Rhinolophus ferrumequinum: one gene and its partners. The protein of the gene in region 2 interacts with the protein of the main gene of each other region in a pairwise test. Links are inferred from orthologs where the notes say so. Each region holds a gene or a part of one and is shown on either strand. Other genes may lie near its edges.

The links.
Region 1: the proteins of FIP1L1 (region 2) and CPSF4 interact in binary tests that used the Homo sapiens proteins (3 or more experiments, as listed by UniProt). The two-hybrid records come from large-scale screens. The link is inferred for Rhinolophus ferrumequinum from reciprocal best matches to the Homo sapiens genes FIP1L1 and CPSF4.
Region 3: the proteins of FIP1L1 (region 2) and PRMT2 interact in a two-hybrid assay, tested with the Homo sapiens proteins (2 studies listed by BioGRID and IntAct). The link is inferred for Rhinolophus ferrumequinum from reciprocal best matches to the Homo sapiens genes FIP1L1 and PRMT2.

The regions. Positions count from the first base shown.
Region 1 is NC_046290.1:89,660,101-89,668,140, reverse strand, and holds the start of CPSF4 (cleavage and polyadenylation specificity factor subunit 4), read right to left. Parts: upstream 3,551-8,040; 5' UTR 3,399-3,550; coding exon 3,296-3,398; intron 1,497-3,295; coding exon 1,446-1,496; intron 1-1,445. Other genes in the region: PTCD1 (pentatricopeptide repeat-containing protein 1, mitochondrial), read left to right, coding at 5,806-6,285. UniProt on the Homo sapiens protein: Component of the cleavage and polyadenylation specificity factor (CPSF) complex that play a key role in pre-mRNA 3'-end formation, recognizing the AAUAAA signal sequence and interacting with poly(A) polymerase and other factors to bring about cleavage and poly(A) addition.
Region 2 is NC_046288.1:15,958,860-15,967,210, forward strand, and holds the start of FIP1L1 (pre-mRNA 3'-end-processing factor FIP1), read left to right. Parts: upstream 1-4,865; 5' UTR 4,866-5,089; coding exon 5,090-5,174; intron 5,175-6,328; coding exon 6,329-6,373; intron 6,374-6,476; coding exon 6,477-6,516; intron 6,517-8,351.
Region 3 is NC_046285.1:109,210,263-109,218,656, reverse strand, and holds the start of PRMT2 (protein arginine N-methyltransferase 2), read right to left. Parts: upstream 3,569-8,394; 5' UTR 3,412-3,568; intron 2,306-3,411; exon of another isoform or gene 2,303-2,305; 5' UTR 2,243-2,302; coding exon 2,204-2,242; intron 1-2,203. UniProt on the Homo sapiens protein: Arginine methyltransferase that methylates the guanidino nitrogens of arginyl residues in proteins such as STAT3, FBL, histone H4. Acts as a coactivator (with NCOA2) of the androgen receptor (AR)-mediated transactivation.

The DNA of each region.
Region 1 (8,040 bases), on a different chromosome or scaffold from region 2:
TAAGGGTGGCATGGGGGTGAGGTGGGGTTGAGTTTATTTCTTAATTTAAAGAATAGGTCCAGCAGTACACAGACATGGTGAAAATTACAGGGGGAGGCGTGGGTTGCGGGGAGTGGGGGTTTGGAAACCCAGCCCTAAAAGATAGAAGGTAGAGGACCACCAGAAGCCTGGACTCCAGGCGGGCTCCATCTTTAGTTAGAAGTTCCCACTTAACCTTCACGAACTAAGAAGATCAAGTATAGAATTAAAGAAATGCATTGTATACAAACTCGGGGAGGTCTGCCTTCTATAGCCGGACCTGAGCGATCATCCATCCGGATGTGACAGAGCTATATCTGCGAAAGTCATATTTCTAAACAGTGGCCTGGCAGGACTACTGGGAAGGCCTGACTAGAATGAGGCTGTGACTGGAAAAGATCTAGACCCACCCACTGCCAACTTTCTGCAATGGTGGCAACATTCTATATTTATGCTGTCAAGTATGGCAGCCAGTAGCCACACGTGGCTATAAAACACTTAAAATGTGACTAGTGTGATTGAAGAACTGCATTTTTATTTAATTTTAACTAATTTAAATTTTAATAGCCACATGTAACTAGTGGCTACTGTATTAGTTAACAAAGAGACTGGCATATTGCTGGTGTTAAGGACAGATGGTGGCAGGTCAGAAAGGCACAATTACCAAGCAAGGACGTGGCCATGAAACCAGCCCAGGGGCGATGATGTTCCAACTAGACACCAGAGGTCAACCGGGTGGATCCACTTGATAGGTCTATTGCTTCAGTTGTAAATGACTGAGTTATAGAACCCAAACTTGCCAAAATCAGCCATAAAAAAGAAACTTGCTCTAATTCTGTGCTCCCTATTTAAGCTTGTGATTAAAATTGCTTATAGGAAGAAAGATGCCCAGACCTCTACATGGTATGTAAGGTCCTGCCCTGCGAGACTTCTTATGAATTAATGGATAGGTAGTCTGGCTCATGCAGCCTCTGTTGGGCCCTGGTTAGTATGAACGTGACTCCACGAGACACTATCATGGGGTTTTTTGATGAGAGGACACAAAGGACAGTGAGCCCGTGTCGACTCCGTAGAACCAGAAAGGCCTGGATTCAAACACTGGGCTCAATCACTCACTAACTCTGTGACTGTGAGAAAGTGCCTGAGCATCTCAGTACTAGGCGCTTCTGTTCATGTCATAGGTCAGCTTGTGGCCACAGGGAAAGTGAGATGAGAAGGCCAATTCAGAGCCAGCTTCCATCCTGTGTTTTAGGTTTCAGGCAAAACACTCCATCATGTTCTCATGTACCTAGCCTACCCAAACCACAATTTCATCTAGGGACATTGTCTGCAGAAAGCCATGTAAGCTAGAGACCTGATGGCCTGCAAGTCTGCTAAGGGCTAGGGTGGTGGAAGGAACATCCCCCAGGGAGCCAGGGGTCTCTTACCTTTGCCACAGGCTGCTTTCAAAAAGAATTCGCAGACAGCAGCCCCTGACTCTGTAGAAAGGAGAGAATAGGAGAGGCGTCAATCAAAGCAACGTAGGATTACTACTGGTAACATCTGAAGATGGGGGAGGGAACTGTTCTGGTCTTTAACCCACTAAGGGTTCATGGTATAGGTAACAGACTGGCAAAAAAAATGCAAAGCCAAACCAAGCAAGAAGAAAGTTGCTTATTTCAGTCACTCCCCGTAAAATGAGACATATTGTTGAGAGTAATCATTATTCAGGGCTGAGAGCTTCCTACAATAAAGATGCTTTCAAGGAGTCAAGCGTGTGTGGGGGAAGGAAGGATGGAGCACAAGATCACAGAAATTAATTACACTGTGCTTGGACATTCCAGAGGGCTAATTTAACGTGAGGCAGAAGGAGGGAATGATCTCACAGGAAACACAAGCGAATGTGGACCGAGGACGGACAGGCTCCAGAGAGATGCTATTTGGGCGGGGAGAGCATAATTGAAGATACAGAAGTAGGACTGCTCTTAATATGCAGCAGCAACACACAATTATTAAAGGGGCAGTCTTTTGCTTCCACAGATGCAGCTAGTTCAGATGAGGGGAGCAAGAGAACAGAGGCTGAGTGAGCGCAATGGAAGTCAGTGGGCTCAGGGGACAGGCTGTTCCAATGCGCCCAGGACTACCCCTGCTATCAGAGTAAACCTTCCGGTGTCATAAACAGTTTTCTCTCTCACAGGGCATTTCAGAATTGCTGAAAACCTACAGACAGCATCTCTGAAGGCCACTTCCGTGCCTCTTCTTGCTAACTTGCGAGAGATTCCTTGGTTTCTCGGGAGCAGGCATATTTTGCTGGGAGAGACTTAACGGCTGTGGAACTGGGAGTCCTGGGCTGTCACTCATTTGCATTTCAAAATGTCTCACAAAAAAGAGTTAGGGTTGCTTCCTTCATTCCTTAAAGCCCGAAGTCCCCAGTCCTGGGGACTGGGTGTCAGGCAGACAGAATAAAAGAATATGCCTCCAGGGCAGAACAGACAATTCTTCCCCAAACTAAGAAATGAAGTTCAGGGACAGGGCCTGTGGCCTCCCTGGGCTTTAACACACTGGACTTGATCACTGGCAGGCAGTGCGCTGAGGGCAGCTACCAAGTCTGAGGCCAGTCAGGGCAGCACCCGTGGCTAGTTATGTCCTTGACCCTCCCTAGAAACAGGTCTGTGGGCCCCTCACCACTGCGCCTGCCCTCACAGACTCCAGTATCTGTGGTCCCAGGCTAGAGACAGGTGGGATGGAAAGAGCTGTCCTGCATGGATGGTTCCACAGCCTCAAGCTAGTGCTATCAACAGTGGGGGGAGCGCAGGCAGCTGCCAGGGTATGATGAACGACTCAGAATTGGGGTCCAGAGAAAAAGAGACAGGCTCGCAGGAGTGTGCGTCCTAGGAGAAAGGAGCTTGAGAGTCTAACTGAGGATATCCTACAGAGGAGTTCCTTCCCTCAGCCAGACTCCTCCAGACTCAGCTCTGACGAGAGCAAGAAGAGGGAGCTCGCTCACAGTAGGGGGCTGGAGGGGGGAAGAGAGTTATACGGTATTTTCCTGCAGGCGGGGAGTGTGCGGGGGTGGGGGAAGGATTTTCAACCCAGAGTACCCGCCTTCATTCAAGAATTATTTGAACAGCCAGACTAGGTCTTGCCCTCCTGAAGTTTGTCTTAAACTAGTCCCAGGGGATCAAAGACCCGAGTCCAAGTCCGAGGACCGAGGGGGTGGGGTCATGAGTCCACGGGGTCGGGTCCCAGGTCCGAGTCGGTCGCACCCTTCGCCTGCCCGCCCCGGCCCCACGCTCACTGTCCATGCCGGGGAAGGGGAGCGGCTGCGCCCCGAGCTGCTGCTCCACCGCGATCTCCAAGTCGAACTTGATGTGGTCCACGCTGGCGATGATTTCCTGCATGGCGGCGGCGGCGGCCCCACCGGCCCGGCTCCCCTCAGTACCTCGCCGCTCTCACACCTCTACCTGCCACCCGCCACCGCACACGGTCCTCCTCCGCCTCGCCTCGCCGCCGCCGCCGCCGCCGCCACCGCCGCCGCCGCCCGCGGAATGCCGGGAGCGCCCAGAGCCCGCGCCTGCCTCTCGCCTGTTCAGACCGGACCAATCGAGCGCGGAGTACGGGCCGCTCCGCTAGGCCCTGCCAGCCGCCAGCCAAACCCGCGTCTCACCTCGCGGTCGCGAATAACTTATAGGCGCAGGGAATTCGCAACGTAGACTGCGCCTGCGCGAGGTTTGGCTGGGACTCCGCGCCTCGGAGAGGGGGGCGGGGAAGGGGAGTCAGAAGCACGGAGGGGCGGGTTGGGGACGCGGACCCGGAGTCGGGCGACGCGGCGCGGACATCGGGGCCGTGTTCACTGCCCTGGACTCGGAGTGAGTTCCTATTTGATCCTCACCGGAGCGTGGAACCTGGGCGGGGACAGACCAGAGGGGCAGCGAGTGTCACTGCCGGCGTTGAGCCCGGGGCGTCCCGTGAGGAAACCGAGGTTCTAAAGATCAGTGTGGAGGGGTTGGGTTGGCCTGAGGCTCCAGGAATGTCTGGGGAGGGGCTGGTCCCCCAAGGGAGAACAGCGGCAGCGTATCTCTAATTCAGTGGTTCTTAGCCTAGGGAGATTAATGAACTTGGGTAGGAAAATTACACCTTTATTGTCTCTGTGAAATTGAGCATTTCCTTTCCCGACTAACGAGTAGCGTTAGCAGTGCCCAAAACTCCAAGACGAAGTTGTGATTTCAAGTGGTGATGCGTGTAAAGGATAGTTGGAGATAGAGTATGTGCAACTACTACAAGCTATCATTTCCACTCATTACTACTTTAACAGGATGATAGATAGGATCTTGTTTTAGTGTGTTGAAAAGAAGCTTATATACCTAGTATAGCGTTAAGTTTGTTTTTAAGACATCTGATACCTATCTCGATTTTTTTTTGTTATCTTATGTATTTCATTTAATGCATGTAAACACTTTATTTAATGTGGCTAGTTGAAATTTTAAGATTACATATATGCTACCATTGTTTCTATTGGAGTCTTTCTATTGGAGTCGCAGGCCTCACCAGCCATGGAATGGTGAAGGCCCTCTGCACTAGTGTCTCTAGGGCGCTAGTCAAGAGAGGCCGTCCTTGACCTGGGCTCAAAGCCAGCCCATTTCCACCGCTGGCCAGCCTTGCCCACAGCACTGCTGCAGGGCCCCCAGCATGTCACTCCCTACCTGGGCCTCAGTTATTAGTCTGCCGTCACCTCTGAGGTCTTTCCAGTGGTGATCTGATATAACCAGGCCTTAAAATATTTTCATAATGGTTACTCTGATATTTTTTTATGAAAGAGTTTTAAGTATACAGAGCAGGACCTCTGGCCTAGTACTGTCCAGTAGTAATATAATGTGACCACTATGTAATTTTAAATTTTCAAGTAGCCACATTAAATAAAGTAAAAAAAATTGTGAAATTAATGTTAAATTTTCTTTAGCCCAGTGTATCCAAAATGTTATCATTTCAACATGTAAAATAATTGTGTGTGTGTTTTACATTGATTTTTTTGTGTGCAAAGCCTTTGAAATCTGATGTGTATTTTGTACTTTTAGCATATCTCCAGATTAGCTGTATTCATGTGCTCAGCAGCCACATGTGGCCAGTGGCTACCATATTGGACAGCACAGTTCTAGCCCATTTGTCTACGACTTGCAGAAAAGAAGTGCTTGAGTTAGCTTTCCTGTGCAGAGGCCCAAAATGCCAACAATTTTTTTCCTAATATTAAATGATTAATAGCTGCAATTTTTTGAACACCTATTAACTGTCAGGTATTGTGTTAAAAATATATCATTAGTCCTTATAATCTCGTGCTGAGGCAAGTGGGGTTATCCTTACCTTGCTGCTGAAGAAATTGAGACACAGAGATGTCAAGTAATAGGCATAGACACACAGCTCTGGCTAGGACTCAAACTCAGCTGTGATTTCAGCACCGTGCTCTTTGATCATAGTTTGATAATATCCGTAGCTTATGTCTGTTGAGTGCCTAATGTGCCAGCACTGTGCTGCACACTGTATATCTGAGACTTCAATCATTGCTATAGTGTTGTGTGGGTGACATTATAGTTAACCCCAATTTACAGGCAAGGAGACTGAGGCTAGAGCATTGAGTGCCCAGGGACTCATGGATGGTTGTTTGGCAGAACTGAAGTCAGAACATAGGCTTTCTAACCTCAGGGCTCATGCTTATGACCACTTCTCTGTCTTTCTGCCTTTTTTGGACTATGAACCTGAGTTAACTTCAATATTTTTCTGACCTGTGCCAGGCCCTGGAGGTAAAAGCCAGAGATGGACCTTGTGAGACTCTCCCGGCTCTTTTCCAGCCCCCGCCCCATGGGACTGTCTGTCCTGCAATGCCTTGACCCTCTACGAGCCAGGTGGGCAGGAGCTAGGGAGGGGCCTGCTTGGCTGAGGGCCATGGGGCCGACTGGGCCAACATCAGCAGCCTTCAGCAGCTCGCCCTCTCAGTTGCCCCTCAGCCAGGGGAGCCAGAAGAACACGCACAACCGCAGCTCTGACCTGAGCCAGCCCAGCCCCATGGCCAACCAGGAGGAAGAGGAGGAGGAGAGTTTTGGGACCCTTTCCGATAAATACTCTTCTCGGAGAATGTTCCGCAAATCAACGGCCCAGTTGTATAACCTACGGCTCAGGGAACAGAGTGTTAAAGAAGATGAAGAAAACGAACTGGATCCAAAATCATGGCAAGGCCGGAGAAACACCCCTTACTGGTACTTCTTTCAGTGCAAACACCTGATCAAGGAAGGGAAGGTGAGGGAACTTTTGGATTCTGCTGCTCCTGGCTCCTCCATTGACGGTAGCCCAGTACTTTGTGAGGGGCCACTTTGCTTTCTTAATCTCTAAAGGTTGGGATGCTCACGGCTCTTCTCTCCTCTGTCTTTCCTCACCTGGGTGCTGTACCAGGTGACCCGCCAGCCCCCTGGCTTTCAGTGCCCCCCTTCACTGCAGCTCTTGTATTTGTATCTCCAGCCTGGACTTCCCGGGGACTCCCGATCTGTGTATCCAGTTACCTCCTCACCATCTCCCTTCCACTTACCCACATGGACCTGAAATTTTTGTTGCCAACCTTGTTTTCCCTGCACTTTCTTCATCTTACTAATTGGCAACCGCATTATTCCGTCTGCCCAGGCCAAATGCTTTCAGGTTATTCCTAACTCTTCTCTTTCTCTCACCAACTTCAAAATGTTGTCAGTCCTAACACTTCTCACAATCCCACCCCTGAATGCCCGCCCAGGCTTAGCCTGCTCCTTGCCCTCACAGCTGTTATCCTGGTTACTGGGCTCCCCACTGCTCTTGCCACCTTCTGCCTTGATGTCAGCTCACAGCATAGAACTTTCCAGTTAAAGCAGAAAGCAGATAGCATTAACTCTTCTCCAAAATTTCCAGTGTAGTCAGTGATGTTGAAGGTATTCACTTTCTTAAGTATTGATAATGACATTCGTTTGTTTACAATTCTCTTAGAGGTACATGTTGAAGATTTTATGAATGAAATGATGTCTGGAATTTGCTTTAAAAAATTCTGTTTGGAGGAGAAGTGCAGGGTGTAGATGAAACAAGACTGTCTAAATGTTAATAATTGTTGTAGTTAGCTCTTCTCTCTACTTTTGTGTATATTTGAAATTTTCCGTAATGAAAAGTTGAGAAATAAACAAAGAGAAGCCAGAGTCCTCACAATGGCTTATGAAGCCAGCGAGGTCTGCTACCACCACTCTTCAGCCCTCGCTGGCCTCCTCCCCCATGTACTGTGCTGCAGCCACCCCCGTCTCCTCTCTGCTCCCAGGCGTCCTCCTGCCTCAGGGCCTTTGCTCTGGCCATACCGTCAGATAGCAAAGGGGCTTCTTCCCTCACCTCCTTCACATCTTTGGTCACCTGTCACCCTGTGGATGAGGCCCTGCTTGGCTGGCATATCTAACCCTGAATCTCCTATACCCTTCTGGCACTTACTGCTTCATTGTTGTTCATAGCACATTCCACATACTATGTATTTTTCTTGGTCATCTCATTTGATGTCTGTCTTTCCGCACCAGAGGATAAGCTGCTTGAGGGAGCTCCATCTTGTTCTCAGCTATAGCCTCAGCAGATAGATCTTGCCTGGCACATAGTAGGACTCAGTAACTACTGGTTGAATGCATGGATGAAAAAAAACAAAGGAGTGAAGCCGGGATTTGAAGGGGGATGGTTTAGGGGTGGGGATGGGGCAAAGACAGCCGTGGGCCAAGGGGGTTTGCAGTTGGAGGAAGCTAGTCGCCCAGAGCTGCCATCTACAGCATCTCAAGAGGCTGTTGCTGTGAATGGCCCCCTGGGGTTGAGCCTGCTCACCACACTGCCCAGAACCCAGCCTCTCGTCCAGCTCAGACCCAGGGGACAGGCCTATGGATGGGGTCACCAAGGAAGCAAGGGAAGCACGGGTCCTGAGATTCACAGAACTAACATTTTCTGAGGACCTACTGAGTGCCAGGCCTGGCTTCACAATAGGCCCACAGAGAGGCAAAGACCTCTTTGGCC
Region 2 (8,351 bases):
TAGCGTGATGAAACCATACAACGTGTGTTTTGGAACTAAAAACAGTATAGTTTAGCTAGAATGTCTTGTATGAAGAGACCCAAGAAGAAATAGGAGCTAAAACTAGAAAAGAAGTGACTAGATCAGGGTTAGTCTTATTTCTTATTCTACGTAGTAGCAGCCAAGGGGGAACTATTATTTTTAGGAGTGAAAATAATTTGTCCATATCTAGAGTTTAGAAAAAAATATTCTATTAAGGACACAGACAATAATTTGAACGCAGTAAGATTTTGAGCTGGGAGAACAGTTAGGAAATAGTAACAGCAAATACTTGGGCCAGAGTAGATAAGCATACCAGTAAAGGGATAGACAATGAGGGGTGTCTAAATAAATGTTAAGGAGATAGAGCTCAAAATCCTGGTTACCGGATTGACAGAGAGATGGCGAGGGAAAATTTCTGATTAATGCCCACTTTTCTGCCTCAGTGACTAGTAAATGATAGTCACTGAGATTTGGAAAATCAAAAGAGAAACAGAATGGGGAATAAATGTGCAGAGTTCAGTTGGGCCATGTTTTTGTTTATTTGTCTGTTTGTTTTTTTTAATTGTGACAAAATACACATAACATAAAATTCCATTTTAACCATTTTTAAGGGTACAATTCAGCAGTGTTAAGTATTTTCACATTGTTGTGCAACCAATCTCCAGAATTTTTTCATCTTGTGAAACTGAAACTCTACAGTATGTACATTAAACAACTCCCCATTTCTCCCTCCCTCTACCCCTGGCAACCATCATTCTACTTTCTGTTTTTATGAATTGACTACTCTAGATATCTCGTGTATGTGGAATCACACAATATTTGTCCCTCTGTGACTGGCTTATTTCACTTAGCGTAATATCCTTAAAGGTTCATCCATTTTATAATATGTGTCAGAATTTCCTTCCTTCCACTTCTTGTTCTCAGATGTTATGGCAGAGTCAAATTAAGTCCTGCTAAAATTACATGCTTAAGACAATCAGATATACTTCATTTAAATGTGATTTGTACTTCTGTGCTCAAAATAGCCAACAATTATTTCCCATTCCTCATAAAACCAAACATATCTCTCTGCACCTCATTTCTAAGTCCTCCATATGCATCATCAACATAAGGATTTACTAACCACTTTCTATGTGCTTGACATTGTAAAACAGGATCTGGTAACTACAGAAAAAAAAATGTTTTCATCATTAAGGAGTGTGCAGTTTACATAACAGTGTAGCTATAAGAGGAGATGATACAATTTTCCAGAAACAGCAAGCAATATAAAATTTAGTGTTAAAATATGTCAAAATATATAGGAAGATGGATAATTGAGGCTTAATTCCTGATGGAAGTATCTAGAGAAGAAGGAAACCTTTACACGTGTGTGGTTATTCAGGTTGTTGAAAGGACAAAAGGCCTACACCATAACCCACTACCTGCTTGCCTCTAACTGGTCTAATGCTTTGACATTTTTGAAACCTAATTTTAGCTTTGTTATCTTCCCAAGAAGTGAATATAAAATGTCATATTAATATATCATTTTACTGATGAGGAAACTGAATAATATTGAGATTTAAGCAACATATTTAAAGTTTGCAGCAAATAGCATAGTTGGGCCTAAATGACATATTCATTCAAAACACATTTATGAGTACTCACTATCTGCTAGATACTGAACATAGCACTGTTATTTGAGTTTTAACTCTTGTCATCATTTTAATCATCTGCTAAGCATTCCCTTTTGGTATTTCTTAGAGATATATTAAAACTGTTGCTTTGTTGTTATTGTTGTTTTGCCAGGAACCAACAGATCACAGAAAAATAAAATAAAATGGGACACAAATATAATCAGAATGTATGGAGTATTGTAGTTGGATAAGGTCATAATTTTACACAGTATCATCAAGCTACCTCTCTTTGAAGTCTCCCCTGGTGAGTAGGAAGATAAAGATACCTTTAGCTAAGGAAGTTTATCCAGGCAAGGAATTCAATTTGGAAGCAAGAAAGGAGGAGGCCTTTTAAGACTGGTTATTAGTGATTTATGGGCTTCTCTGCTTGTGGAAATCCTCCTGTTCAAAGCTTAAATCAAATACTACCTCCACCATGAAGGCAATTCTGATGCATCAGTTATTATTCAGTAATTCTTCAGTTCTGTTTAAGTAATCCCTTGAAATACGAGCTCATTTCAGGCAGCTGAAAGGAGAAAAAGTCTTCTCAGCAAATGGTGATTGGTTCTCCCATGAAACCACCAAAGTTCATTATACACTCACGGAATGATAAACAGAAAGATAAATAGACAAGACTGTAAGTGATTGTCTTATGATACTCCCAAAGAGAATGTAAAACCTTCACTCCATTATTGTGAGTAAAGGCCAAGAAGATCTACTAAGTGCTAGGCACCATACCAGGAATGAGAGTGATTAAAAAAACGCTCCATTTGAGGGAGGATTTGGTCTAATGAACAGTCTTAGGAATACAGATATGTAGTCAAATCATTACTATATGTTGTGATGGACACATTCCATAGAAGCAGCACAAGGTCTACAAGGGAGTGATTAGCTCTGCCCTGCCCGCTCCCCAATAACTCTGACCTCATCTACAGCCTCTTCCTCCCTCCCTCTTCAGCTACATTTGGGGTTCCTCGAACACACTAAGTATGTTGTTGTCCCAGAACCTTTGCGCTTCCATACTCCCTCTGTCTGATAGGACTTCATCCAGCAATCTACCCAGCTTACTTTTTCTTTCCATTCATGCCTCTGCTCTTGTATCACCTTATCAGAGTGGCCTTTTCCTGACACGATATAAAATTGCACCCTATCCCTCTTCATTACCCCACTCTGGGTCTTCCTATTCTGCTTACTTTTCTTTATAATCCTTATCACCGCGTGACATATGTTTAGTGGTTGTCTCCTCAGAATGAAAGCTTCATGAGAGGAGGACTTTGTCTTACTCACTGTCGAATCTATTAATATGTAGCCTAGAAGAGTTCCTGACACTTGTGGAGCCTCCATAAATATTTATTGAATGAATAAAAATATGGGAGGAGATAAAGTGGAATTCAGGAAAGAATTCATGAAGTTGATTATGTTGCAACAGAGTTCAGAAGGATGCAAGAGATTATCCTAAACAGATTCGGGAGACTGGGAATAGCAGGTAGAAGAGTGTTCAAAGGTAAGGGGGATTGGAGCAGCCGGATGGCTCAGTTGGTTAGAGCGGAAGCTCTCAACAACAAAGTTTCTGGTTCAATTCCCACATGGGATGGTGGGCTGTGCCCCCTGCAACTAAAGATTGAAAACAGCAACTGGACTTGGAGCTGAGCTGCGCCCTCCACAACTAGATTGAAGGACAACGATTTAGAGCTGATGGGCCCTGGAGAAACACACTGTTCCCCAATATTCCCCGATAAAATTAAAAAAAATTATAGAAAACAAAACAAAACAAAAAGGTAAAGGGGATTAAAACCATATGATTTGTTTAAATAATACAAAATGGTGTCATATTGGTGGAATGTAAATACTTTGTATGTGCTTCTATTGTATCATAGTCTCCTTTTCCCCTTGTAGGAGAGTTAGTTGTTTATCACCCTTTCTCTACAGAGCTCTTTGAGGGTAGGGGCTATGTTTTACTCATGTCTTTATTTTCCAAGTTCTTAAACAGCAGATGTCAGTAATTGCCAAATAAATGAAAAAACAATATTTACTGATTAGAGAGTATGTAAACATATTGATTTTTGTAATTAAAATAGATTTCTTTCCGTTGAAAAGTGAGTGTCCTATTTGAAAACATCATAACTAAAAGGGACTTTAGAGATCATCTCATTCAAATTTCCCATTTTATAGCTGAGAAAACTGAAGCATAGAAAGGTTGATTACCTGAGGTCATGCAACTATGTTATAGTTGAGAACGAGAATACCAGTTTTGACCCATCATGTGTCATCTTCTTGAAGGATGTGTTCTCAAAAGTGGCCTGAAAATTTGGCATTATCTATTGACTTAAAAACTGCACATACTTTATGACATATACACTTGTATTATACAAATGTGCAAGAAGTCATGGACATAGGTCTTCATTGTAGGGTTTTTTGTGTGTTAAAGTGAAAAGTTGAAAGCAATTGTACATCATTTTATGAGAGCTATGCTATAGAATATTATGAAGCACTTAAAAATGGACATAGTTTGACACATATGTACTAACACACAAGGATCTTTAACACACTGTTGAGTTAAAAAAAAAAAGCGATCTGCAGAATACATACAGTATTGTATCCTTTAAGACTAGTTAACCTCAATTTCTCCCACAAAAACAATACAATCTACATGAAGTAAATGTATAAAAAGTTTCAGAATGATTCACACACACAAAAAAACAAGGGCTGCCTCCAGAAAGGAACGTAGTAGATGAGGGGATCTTTGAACTTAATTATAATGCTTTATTTTAACAAGGAGAATGCATTACCTATATGTTAAAATTTTTGTTTGCTGTTAAAATTAATTTTTCAAGAAAATGGCCATGAATTATGATTTCTTCTCTATTTAGTGAGAAAAAAGGGACTGAAGTTAACGATTCTGTATCAAGGGTGATACAACACGTAGAGAATAAAATAAGGCCTTTCAGAAAATTAAAAGACAGCAAAAATGGTTGAGAAAATAAAGCATCAAGGGCAGAAGGGAACAATGGAGTACTCACAGGGAAAGGCAATATGGGTTATTAGAAAACGGCTGGGGGAGGGAAACCCTAGTTTACCAGGGAGAAATCAACGCTAAAAAGGCTAAGCGGGATTCCATAGGGGCGGGGCCAACTACGGTGCGCACGCGCAAAGAGGCCCAGCTGGCCGCCTCTGCGGAAGCGAATTCACCTAAAGACCTCGCGCCGCTCGTCTGCTGCTGCGCGTGCGCAGGCGGGTCAATATCGGAGACTTCTTTGCCGCCTCCGGCGCTGTGGCCGCCTCCAGTGGATTGGAGTTTTAGCCTTTCTTTGGTCGCCGGCGGGTTCGTGCCCCTCTCGCACCGTCGGGCAGCGAGGCTGGGGAAGGGGTTGGAGGGGTCTGTTGACCGCCGCCTTTAAGTTGTGCTCGGGGCGGCCATGTCGGCCGGCGAGGTCGAGCGCCTAGTGTCGGAGCTGAGCGGCGGGACCGGAGGGGATGAGGAGGAAGAGTGGCTCTATGGCGGTACGGAACTTCCTGTCCTTTCTCTCTCTCCTGGGTTCTCTCAGGCCTCCCCTCCTGGCCCACAAACGGTCGGCGTCCCAGGCCTCTCACGCTGCCGTCTGGGGCCTCTCGTCCGGCCTAAGTCAGGCGGAGCGCGGTGTGCGCGTCTCCCCGCCCCCTCGGCCTCCTCTCGCCCTGCGAAGGGCTCCCAACACTCACCCGAATCGTGGCGGCGGGGATCCGACCGGGGTCGCGGGGCCAGGCCTCCAGTCTCTCCCGCCTCCCCGCCGGGGCTTCTCGGCCGCCTCGCCTTCGCGCTCTTTCCTCTTGTTTTTTATATCGATTGAGTAGTGTCGCTGTGTCTCTTCTTACCCCTTGGCTGTAGGATGCCCTTCCTGTCGCTTTTTTCAGAAACAATCATTCTGTAATAATAGCTAAATAAAGTCGATGCCATAAAACTAACGTCTTGTTTCTTGATGGTCAGTTTGTATGGAATGCACCTGCAAGGGTACCTCCTTGTCTGAAAGTCGTGCTTTAAAAATAATTAATTAAAAGAGAGAGAAAGAGATGGAATACATTATGGCCCATAAAGAGAACCCCGAATGTCTCCTGTATTAAGGTGAAGTTTTTCTTATTTAAGAGATTGCTCTTTAAACCACACTATAGAAGTACCATGTGTCCCTTAGGTTTATAGTTTTCACTGTCATCTCGTGTTTCTTTTCTCGAAATAAATTTAGTGCATCTTGTACTTTTTGAAAGGGACTTTTTTAGACATCTGTTTAATTTTTATTAAGCCATAGTCCCTTCTTGCCTGTTAATCGATATTAGATTTGAAAGTTAATATTTGTTCCTCGTCTAAAATGTATATTCTTGATTGTCTTTAGAATAGTGTAGTGAAAAACGTTTGGCCACTATGCGGCTAGCTCCTTGATGATGTGACTGACAAACTTGGATTTTCATCAACCTGTAAAATAAGTATCTTTAGTGGAAAGATTTAGCATTAGGAATACTTTAGAATGTAAATGTATAGGGTTTCTTTTACAAAGATCTAGAAGTCTTGAATACCTGTTAAGTTTATTTTTATAGAAGTCAAGTCTGATTTTATTTTTATTTTTCATGAAAGACATATCTTGTTAAGTCATTATAAGGTGATCTAACTTTGGATGTGCTTATAGGCCCATGGGACGTGCATGTGCACAGTGATTTGGCAAAGGACCTAGGTTAGTGCTTGTGATGATCACTTCAGATTTTCATAATACTGGTTTCTTTAAGAGTAGTTTGTTTGTTAATTGTATTTATTTATTTATGTATTCTTTTTGGTAGATGAAAATGAAGTTGAAAGGCCAGAAGAAGAGAATGCCAGGTTAGTGAAATTTCTTGTTGATACTTAACACAGGTTGTATGAAACAGTGATTCTAGCAACACATTACCATAATTATTTCATTACAATCATTGGTTTGGTTTGATTACAGCGTTTTGAATATAGGTTGGAAGACAATGAATCCTTTGCAGTTTATTCCTATTGCAGGACCTATTCTTAAACCAGTCTGTTTATTTGCTAGTAGCATAGGGGACGAAGTTTTTGAAGTAGGGGTTTAAATACTTTTCACTATTAAGTAAGTTTTTACCCTTAAGTGAGCTCAACAGTGGAGTATGCAGTATAACCGTTAGGATACCAAAAAAAATTTTTAAGTTAAAATTTTTGAAAGTAATCTCTTACTACTTTCACAATTTATTAATATTTCTGATGGTATAATGTACTTTGGTTGTAATTTCAATGTTTTGTATTTATTTAAATTCAAACTGGAATTAATGATTCCCTTCATTAGATTACTAGAAAGGTATGAATATTGTTTACAAAACATGTACAGGGAACCAGAAACTTATTCTAAATTTCAAAACAAATCACACATACAAGTCCATGGATATGCTAACATTGCTCTGACCAGATTCTTTAGTGTGGCATAATGGGGAAGAGGTGGTTAAAAAAACAGCTTTTAAAGAATATTTGGGTTTAAAATATTTGGCTGTAATAAAAAAGACAGTAAAAGGTGTTGGTGACGATATGGAAAAATTGGAACCCTCATACACTGATGGTGGGATTGTAAAATGGTGCAGCTGTTTTGGCAAAAATCTGGCAGTTTCTTAAAAGATTAAACAGAGAGTTACCATATGATCCAGGAATTCCACTCCTAGATAAATACCTTAAGAGAAATGAAAACAGACCCACACAAAAACTTGTACAGTCCTCACTTCATTGATAGGTTCTGCGATTTTAAGTGAAACTACCTAAAAGGAGACCAATTTTACCACTGATAATAAGCCAGTTATGTTCCTACAGCATCTCATCAACATAACAAAAGTATGTTGAACGAAAGGATGTTATTTGAGCACCTGCTGTACATGAATGCTCATAGCAGCATTATTCATAATAGCCAAAAAGTAGAAATAACTTGTGTCCATCAAATAATGAAGGGATAGATAAAGCGTGACATATTTATACAGTGGAATATTATTTGGCAGTAAAAAGGAATGAAGTACTCGTGTATTACAGCATGGGTGAACCTTGAAAACATGCCAAGTGGAAGAAGCCAGTCACAAAGGACTACATATTATATGATTCTGTATTAAATGGACAGAATAGGTAAATCCATGAAAGAAGATAGTCTTTGCCAGGACTGGGTACAGGGCAAAATGGGGAGTGAATATTAATACGTACAAGGTTTCTTTTTGGGGTGATGAAAATGTTCTGGAATTAGTTGTGATGGTTGCACTATTTTGTAAACATACTAACAACCCTTGAGATGTACACTTCAGATGAGTGGATTGTGTGACATATGAATTATATCTCAAAGCTGTTACTTAAAAAACAAGTGAAGGGAAGGAAGAATTGAGAAGTGAAAAATAGGTATTTACCTAATACTTTAGTAGAGTATTCTTCCTCACTTAAAAATATCTCCTATATTGGAAGACATTTTTTTAACTGATTGCTATATTGTCTGATTTTATCATTTTGTTTTGAAATTTATTCAGTCCAGTTTCTAATGCTAATCTCAACCCCAAAGTGAAGATTTTTGTAATTTATAGTTATGAAATTAATGAATAGTTCTTCAGGCCCTGTTTTTCAGTTGGTCAAGAAATTAATTGATAACAAGGTATAATTGAAGCGTATTTTTTGATTGAACATTCTTTAATTTT
Region 3 (8,394 bases), on a different chromosome or scaffold from region 2:
AAATTAAATAACACAAAGATAAGTAAAATTTTCCAAATGTCTAGAAATAAAGCAACACATTTCTGAATAGCCCAGAAAATTTATAATTTCCATTGTGATATATTATAAAGTATTTTGACTGAACAATAATGAAAATACAATGTTTTTAAATGTGTGAGGTGCAGCTAAAGTAGAGATTAGAGGAAAAGTTTTAGCTTTAAGACATAGATTAGAGAAAAAAGGTTTAAAACCAGTGATCCTAGTTTCCAGCTCAGAATGCCAAAAAAAGAGAAAATTAAACCCAAATAGAACAAAGGAAATAAAGATTAAGGCAGAAATAAGCAAATAAGTGAACAAAGAGAAAATCAACAAAGACAAACTGGTTCTTTGAAAAGATAAAATTAGTAAAACCTTAAAAGAAATGATCAAGGGGAAAAACGAGGTAAAACACAAATTGTGGCCATCAGACATCTCTTCTGTACTGGAGGGTGGTATAACCAGGATGAACACAAATATTATTGAAATACTACTTCAATATTGACTTAATTGACAGTAAGTCGATAAAGAGTCAATTCATGACTCACAAGTAATCAGAAAACTAAAATAACAAGGTACCATTTCTAACCTATCAGATTGACTGAAAAAGTCTGATGCTCTCAAGTGTTAGCAAGCACTGTGGACTATTGGCAGATCTGTGAACTGGTAGACCACTTGGGAGAACGATCGATCATTATCTAGTAAAACTGAAACGATACAATCCCTTCCACCCTGCAATGCCATTACTGGGTATACACCCTAGAGCACATGTGCACAAGGAGACATGTACATGGACGGTCATTGCAGCACTCTTTGGAATAGAAAAAACTGGAAACAATGTAAGTGTCCAACAACAGGGAAATACAGAAAATGTGGTGTATACCCAGTGTACACAGACCTATGTATTAATACATATTGTTCCCATAAGGAACACGCTCTAGGAGCACCCTTTAGGACTGAACCAGCTCCACACACACACCAAGGAAAAATCCCCCAAGTAACATTAGTGCAAAAGGCCAGCTGCAGATGACACACAGAATATGATGCCACTTAAGCGATGCCTAGACCTTATGGTCTAAAAGTATAAAAAATGGTGCAGAGCACAAAGATCAATTCATAATTTTCATAGCGTTTGCCTGTGGAGAAAGAGGAAAAATGGGACTGGGGTTGGGGAATAAATGTTATTTATGGTTTAGTGTGTGTGTGTGTGTGTATTCTGAGGCAAACATGACAAAACATTAACAAATTTTCACTTCTGTATAATATGTACTGGGTATTTCCAATATTATTCTGTAAATGTTCCAATATCTTTTATATTTCTCAAAAGAAAAATGAAACAGCTATGGAATTAAAACATTTTATCATTAATTTTAAGAAAGATTAATAAAATGACCCAAATATAAATAAAATTGCTATATATAAAAACTTAAATGAAATTAGATCATTAGAATGAAAAGAAGAAATGTTAAAATTAACATCACAGACATGGAAAGGTTTAATTAAAAAAAAAAAATGTGGGCCAGCACGGTGGCTCAGGCGGTTGGAGCTCCGTGCTCCTAACTCTGAAGGCTGCCGGTTCGATTCCCACATAGGCCAGTGGGCTCTTAACCACAAGGTTGCCAGTTCAATTCCTCGAGTCCCGCAAGGAATGGTGGGCTGCGCCCACTGCAACTAGCAACGACAATTGGACATGGAGCTGAGCTGCGCCCTCCACAACTAAGACTGAAAGGACAACAACTTGACTTGGAAAAAAGTCCTGGAAGTACACACTGTTCCCCAATAAAGTCCTGTACCCCTTCCCCAATAAAAAAAATTAAAAATCTTAAAAAAAAAAAAAGTTACTTGAGTATTCCTTTAGTTTTTAATTTTACCTAATCAACAGTCCTTGAAATTTTACTGCTAACTTGAATGAAGTTCTACGTGTCCCAGGCAGAAAAGCAGCATGAATACATAAATCTTTTCTAAGGTGTTCGACCTGCCTTTAATGGATTATGCCTGGAACTTAATTGAACAACTAAGAAAATGTGCTTGCTTAAACAGCACAGGTACCAAAAACGGAACCCTAGATTCCTAGGAAATGCTTACAATGTGGTTGGTGGCCACGTTCATACACCCAACGAAAGTGCCATCACTGTGGATGATCTCAGCTCTGTAATGTTCATGTTCTCACCACCAGAACTGAACTTACCTGCAATTCACTTCCGGGGCAGTCATCTGATGTTGCCATAGTTCTCTTAGGATGTGCCGCATAGCTGCCACTGTTAATGTTTCATTTTCCTCTCCATTTCTGCTTTAAAAGAGAGAATGAGAAAATGCTTCATTACATTGCATAATAATTAAGCTTCTAAGGTCCGTGATAAAGGTCCTCTACCAAATAGAACTCAAATGTGTTATGTGTAATGAATGGAACAGAAATAAAATTTATAAACCCAATTCTTTACAAAAACAATGGAAAGCATTTAAAATTTATGAACTTCAAAGAAGTATGTGTTTTCTTCACTAGTCTGCAAGGTGTTACTCTTAATCACTGGCTGAAATCTGTTTTCTGTCAGATCACAGGGTTGATTTAAAACAAATCGATGTCAAATCTTTTCTTGGAACCTTATTAGCTTTAATTCCAATTAAACTTCCCTACCTGGAGCTTTAAAGTGTTTCCACTAACAGGAGCCAAGGTTTGCATCTTCCAGAGGCTTTTCCTTCTCATTCTCAATTCTTATTTTTCCAGTGACAGTGTAATCTGCAGTACGTTTTAAGATGTTTTCTCAATTACATAGCAAGTCTGCTTAAAATGAGTGCTTCTTTTGTAAATCAGGACCTAATACTTAATTTTGTGACATCCGTGGTTACAAATACTAATATACATACGTTGCATTTTCATTGTAAAACTGCACTGGAACCAGGATGGGACAGGGCCGGCCAAGGACTGGGAGGGCCGGGTTGATGGGGCGGGGCCAGAGCGGGGCGGGCCAGGTGAGCGGACCGCAAAGAGACGCAGACTCCGTGCACTGTGGGGGGGAGCGACCCCTGGATCACGAGGGGCAGGTGGCCAACGAGATTGGGGTGAAAGTGGAGAGCGTAAAGGGAGGGGCGGGGCGCTGACGCAGCACCGGGAGTAAGCGGGGAAGGGAGTGTGACATCGGCCTAGGGCGGGCGAGGGTTTGACACGCCTGACAAGAGGGCGCGCCGGGAGGTGGGCGTGCCTGGAGGCGTGGCTGCGGAAGGGCGTGGCTGCGGAAAGGGGCGGGGCGCCGAGCTCGCGGGGAAGACACGGGTGGTCTCGGAAGGGGGCGGAGGCCTCGGTCAGCCCGCTCACGCACACGTCGGGCGAGGCCCTCTCACCTGGCATGTCCTGCCTACGTGCGGTTCAGCCGCCCGAGCTGCCCACGGGAAACCTACCTCAGCCGCGTCTGTCCGCTGAGTTTTGCGCGATCCACACAGTCAGCGCGGAGGGGCGGACGGTGCCTACCACGAGCCGGAGCCACAGCCCTCGGCCCGCGCAGGCGCAGTGCGAGCAGGACGTCAGCGGAGGAGGCCCCACCCCGGGGCCGGGGCCCCGCGCATGCGCATGTTACACAAATTCTTCCAGAAAAGAGACGAGTGAATTACTTCCTAACCGGTTCTATGCAGCCAGCATAAACACTGCTATAAAATGTGAGCAAAAACAATCCAGTGATACATAAAGTGATTACGTATCATGACCAAATATGGTTTATATTACATATTATATATTTATATTTAATCAGTTAAATTTGTTATTTAAAAAAACCTCACAAAGAAAATTCCAGCCCTAAATGATTTCACTGGTGAATTCCATCAAATGTATAAGGAAGAAGTAACACCAACACTAAAATTTTAAGAAAATAGGGGCTGGACACATCCCAGTTTGTTTCATGCGCTCCGCTGTCCGGACAAGTGGAGCTACCGTCCTCCGCCCGCGCGGGCGCGAGGCGCTCAGCTCCTTCGCGAAGAGGCCCGGGCCTGGGGCGAGCGCGCCGCGCGGGCGCGTGTCACTTGTCGCGCCGGTGGCCGTTGCGCTAACCCGGGAGCTGAGCACCGGGAGCAGCGCCGGGCCTGGTGTGTGGGCGGGGCAAGGGGACCCGGCGCCGGGGCTGCTTCCCGACTCTGAGACGGGGAGCGAGGCCAGGGGACAGTTGTCGGAAACCCATTTATGGGCGACAGAAATGGCTGTTTTTGGATCAGGACCCCCTTTCTCGTGTTTTTCTTGTACTTCAGTTACCTCACTGCGCTGTGAGGTGTGAACCATTTGTCATTCTTTCCACTTGACAAACGGAAGCAGAGGGATTACGTTTTTATTTCCCCAAGAGGGCGTTGGGAAAGACGTCAGTGCGCGTTAGCGTGGGCTGGTCTCGGAGGGAGGCGGGCGTCAATATCACCGACGCGGCAGCTTGGTGGCGGCGGGGCTGGGGAGAGAGGAGATACTGGTAACTGGAAAGGGCTTGTTTCACAGGATGGAAACGGTTGGACCACAGGGCCAGTGTATTTACTGCACGGAACTCTGTCTACACTTACAAATGGTTAAGGTGGTAAATTTTAGCTTACGGGTCTTCTACCACAATTTTTTTTAAAAGAAGCAGAAGCACGAAGTACCAATATGAGGAATGAAAAAAGAATTCAGTATAGAGATTCCATAGGTTTTTAAAAGACAAACATTACGAAACTTGACAAGTTAGATAAGTTCCACAAATTCCTTGAAAAACACAAATTACCAAAAATGAACAAGAATATTTAGAAAATCTGCATACTATCTGCTAAAGGAATTGACTTCATAATTTAAAACCTTCTTACAAAGAATACTCCAGGCCCAGATGGTGTCACTAGTAAATGGTTCCAAACAAGGAGAAACTAATACCCATGTTACACAAATTCTTCCAGAAAACAGAGAAAAGTGACTTCCTAACCGGTTCTATGCAGCCAATATTAACACTGCTATAAAATGTTAGCAAAAACAATCCAGTGATACATAAAGTGATTACGTATCATGACCAAATATGGTTTATATTATATATTATATATTTATATTTAATCAATTAAATTTGTTATTAAAAAAACCTCACAAAGAAAATTCCAGCCCTAAATGATTTCAATGGTGAATTCCATCAAATGTATAAGGAAGAAGTAACACCAACATTAAAATTTTAAGAAAATAGGGGCTGGACACGTCCCAGTTTGTTAATAAGGCACACATAACTCTAATAAAAATACCTCACAAAAAATAAAGAATAATTAATATTCTTCATAAAAATTGATGCAAAAATCCTTTAGAAAACATTAGGAAATCAAACTTAACAATATATACTGAGGGTGATACATTATGGCCAAGTGGAGTTTATCCCAGTAATGCAAACTTGGACTAACACTTGAAAATTAATACAATTCACCATATTAATAGAATGGGGGAAAATATATAATCATTTCAATAAATTTTAAAAAGGATTTGACAAAATTCAATACCCAATCATTTTAAATCAACAAAAATAGAACATCATCTATCTATTAAAAGGAATCTATCAAAAACCCTAACGCTAAAACCATAATGATGTTATATTGAAACTTTTTATCAGAAACAAAGCAAATGCATCCACTTTCACTTTATTCAACATTTTATAGGCGTTTTGTTCATGGCAAAATTATGCTCAGACACTGACAGTGTCTTTGCCAATAATTTATTTAACATAGGTTCAGTGCAGGAATTACAACTTATAATAATATGTCACAAGCCAATAGCATACAGGATAATATCTCTTAATAAGCCAATAAAGAAATATACTCTAATGATAGATAAGTATATCATTGTTCCAAGCAAAGGGGAGATGAAAGAGATTAAGTCCAGATGTAGCTGAGGTGCACCTCTCTACGAGCTGCTGGTTCTCGGGAGAGCTGGCTCAGCCAATCAAGCGCTGACACCCAGCTGCCAGCGCAAATTGAAAGTCCCTGTTTTTGGAGTGCGATGCTGGTGGAACACAGGCGCCAGTGTTGGCGGGCAGGATGGTCTCCTCCACGGGCCACTGCAGTTTTCACCAGTGCTGGCAGAGAGTAGCCTGGCCATGGCAGGAGCTGGTGCCTCAGAGAGCTACTTAGATGAGCCAAGAGTAGCCTTGCCCAGACTGGACACTCTTGGTACCACAGTTTAAATGTTCATTACATCATAGTCACTCCTCCATGTGTTCATATTAATAAGCACAATAATGCTGATGACATCATCCCGACACAACCCCTCATATAAAGAAATTCACCCTTCGATCAAAATAACTTCACTTAAGGCATAACAAATCATAACAAACCAATACACAGCAACAGGAAATCCTAGCCAGCATACTAGGGCAAGTAGGCAATAAAAAAACCCAACTATCAGAAAGGAAAACATAAACTTATATACTGCTAGAAATTAGGCTTCCAGATTTATACCCCCTTAGCTTTCATTGTCTCTGGTTTGCTTGGTACATTCTTTATTTAAATCTCAGAATAATTAACTCATCCCCACCTCCAGGGTCAGTCTTATTAGAGATGGTTCAATCTCACAGAAGCATTTTTTAAGTCCAGGTGTATGAATCCTTATTAGTTACATAATTTTAAGAATTGATTAGGTTTTGTTGTTGTTCATTTGGTTTAATGTGGTTGAATACTGTGCTGTTCTGGGCCCATAATGGGAGGAAGTTATAAAAATGTGTGATTACAGAGTAAATAAAAAAAATTTGTTCCCATTGAGTAAACCACCAAAGAGGCTCATACAGTGATTTTTAAAACTTTAAACCTGATGTAATTTTATGGCAAATTTCCAAGAGTCCGTGAAAGTGAAAAGCGTTGGTCAGATAGTCTGCAGCAGTCCTACCACAGAGGAAGCCGCGGTTTCCCTTCGTTGGTTCAGTACTTCCTCTCACATTGCACGGAGAGGCAGTTCCCTGGGCAAAAGCCTCATGCATGAAGCCAGCAGGGAAAGGGTGCTCACTGTGCTCCCATGTCCAGCTCCTTCTCAAAACGGAAAAGAAGAAAAAGTGGAAAAACAGAAACAAAAGCCCTGCTGTTTTGAGCTGGGACCTAATACGGCCATGGGTCCAAAGCAAAGCCAGGCAGTTCTGCTCATGCTGGGCTGCCCTTTGGAAGGGAGCAGCGGTCCTGGGACGGCTGCTACAACCAAATGGATTCACAGAACCTGATGTGGCATAAACATAACAACACGCGATACTCCCGCAAAGTTTGCCAAGTTGTACATTAGCCAGTGAGTTCATTCTGTGCTCAGAAAGCGATCTGCCTGTTTTCTTTGTCCACCTTCTGCACCAGGAGTTTACCTGCCAGCTGCAGGTGTTTGGATACACAAGGATAGTCACTTTGATAATAATGACCATTGATCGAGAGCATCGGGCACTGCACACTATACGTACATGCGCACGCGTGCGTGTGTGCGTGCAAAATTTCATTTACTCCTCCAACAGTCCTCAGGGTTCCTCTTTTACAGAGGCTGAGAAAGGTGCAGTCATTTCCCAAGGGTCTCTGGGCAGAGGCAGACTTGAACCCAGCCCCAGGGCTCACCCACGGCCTCCTGCGGTCTGGCAACAGCCTTCTGTAGAACAGGAAAGGCGATTAATTCTCTTCGCCTGGACACTGGCATTTGCTACAACAGAAGCCTTTGTCCCTTCTCCCACGTCCCTTTAGAACACAGGCGTCTTTCTCTCCCTATGGACACGGGTCCCTGTAACCAACCTCGTGAGCAGCTTGGTGGCGGATGGCACTGTCCTTTGTGTGAGAACAACGTTGCTGCCCAAGGCCTTTGCTCCTGGAAACTCAAGCCAGAATGACTCTTCCTGGCCCTGAACAGACTCAGCGAGGCTTGGGTCTGGTTACAGAATTAACTGAGTCGCTGGAGGGAGGGCTGGAGGGAGAAGGGGCCCTAGTGACAGGAGACCTGGCAGGAGCTTTGTTGACCCACCAGCTGCCCGGGTGCAGGAGACACTCCTGCCTGGGAAGTGGGCCCCTTCCCAACCATGACTGAGGCTGGGCCCTGAGGGGCAGCTTGCCCCTCAGCCCGCAGCGCACCCCCTCCCCCCGCCCCATCAGGTCACATGGGCGCTTCTGGCAGTGGGAGCGGCTGTGGCCTAGACACAGAAGGGTCTTGGCCTCTGTCCTCCCCTCCCAGTTGTCCCCAGAGTTTTGCAGACAGAAATGCTGCGCAAGTCTCAGCAGTGCCATGACCACCCACCAAGCACATGGCTCTTGGCTGTAGAGATGGCAAAGCCAGAGGGGTCGTTTCAGTAGACATCTTTCAGCAGACACCATTCTTCCAGCGGTCACACACAGCCAGGTAGAGATTGCTATCCAACAACCAGCCCTTGTTGTTTCTGTCTCCCTAAGTTTTATCATTTG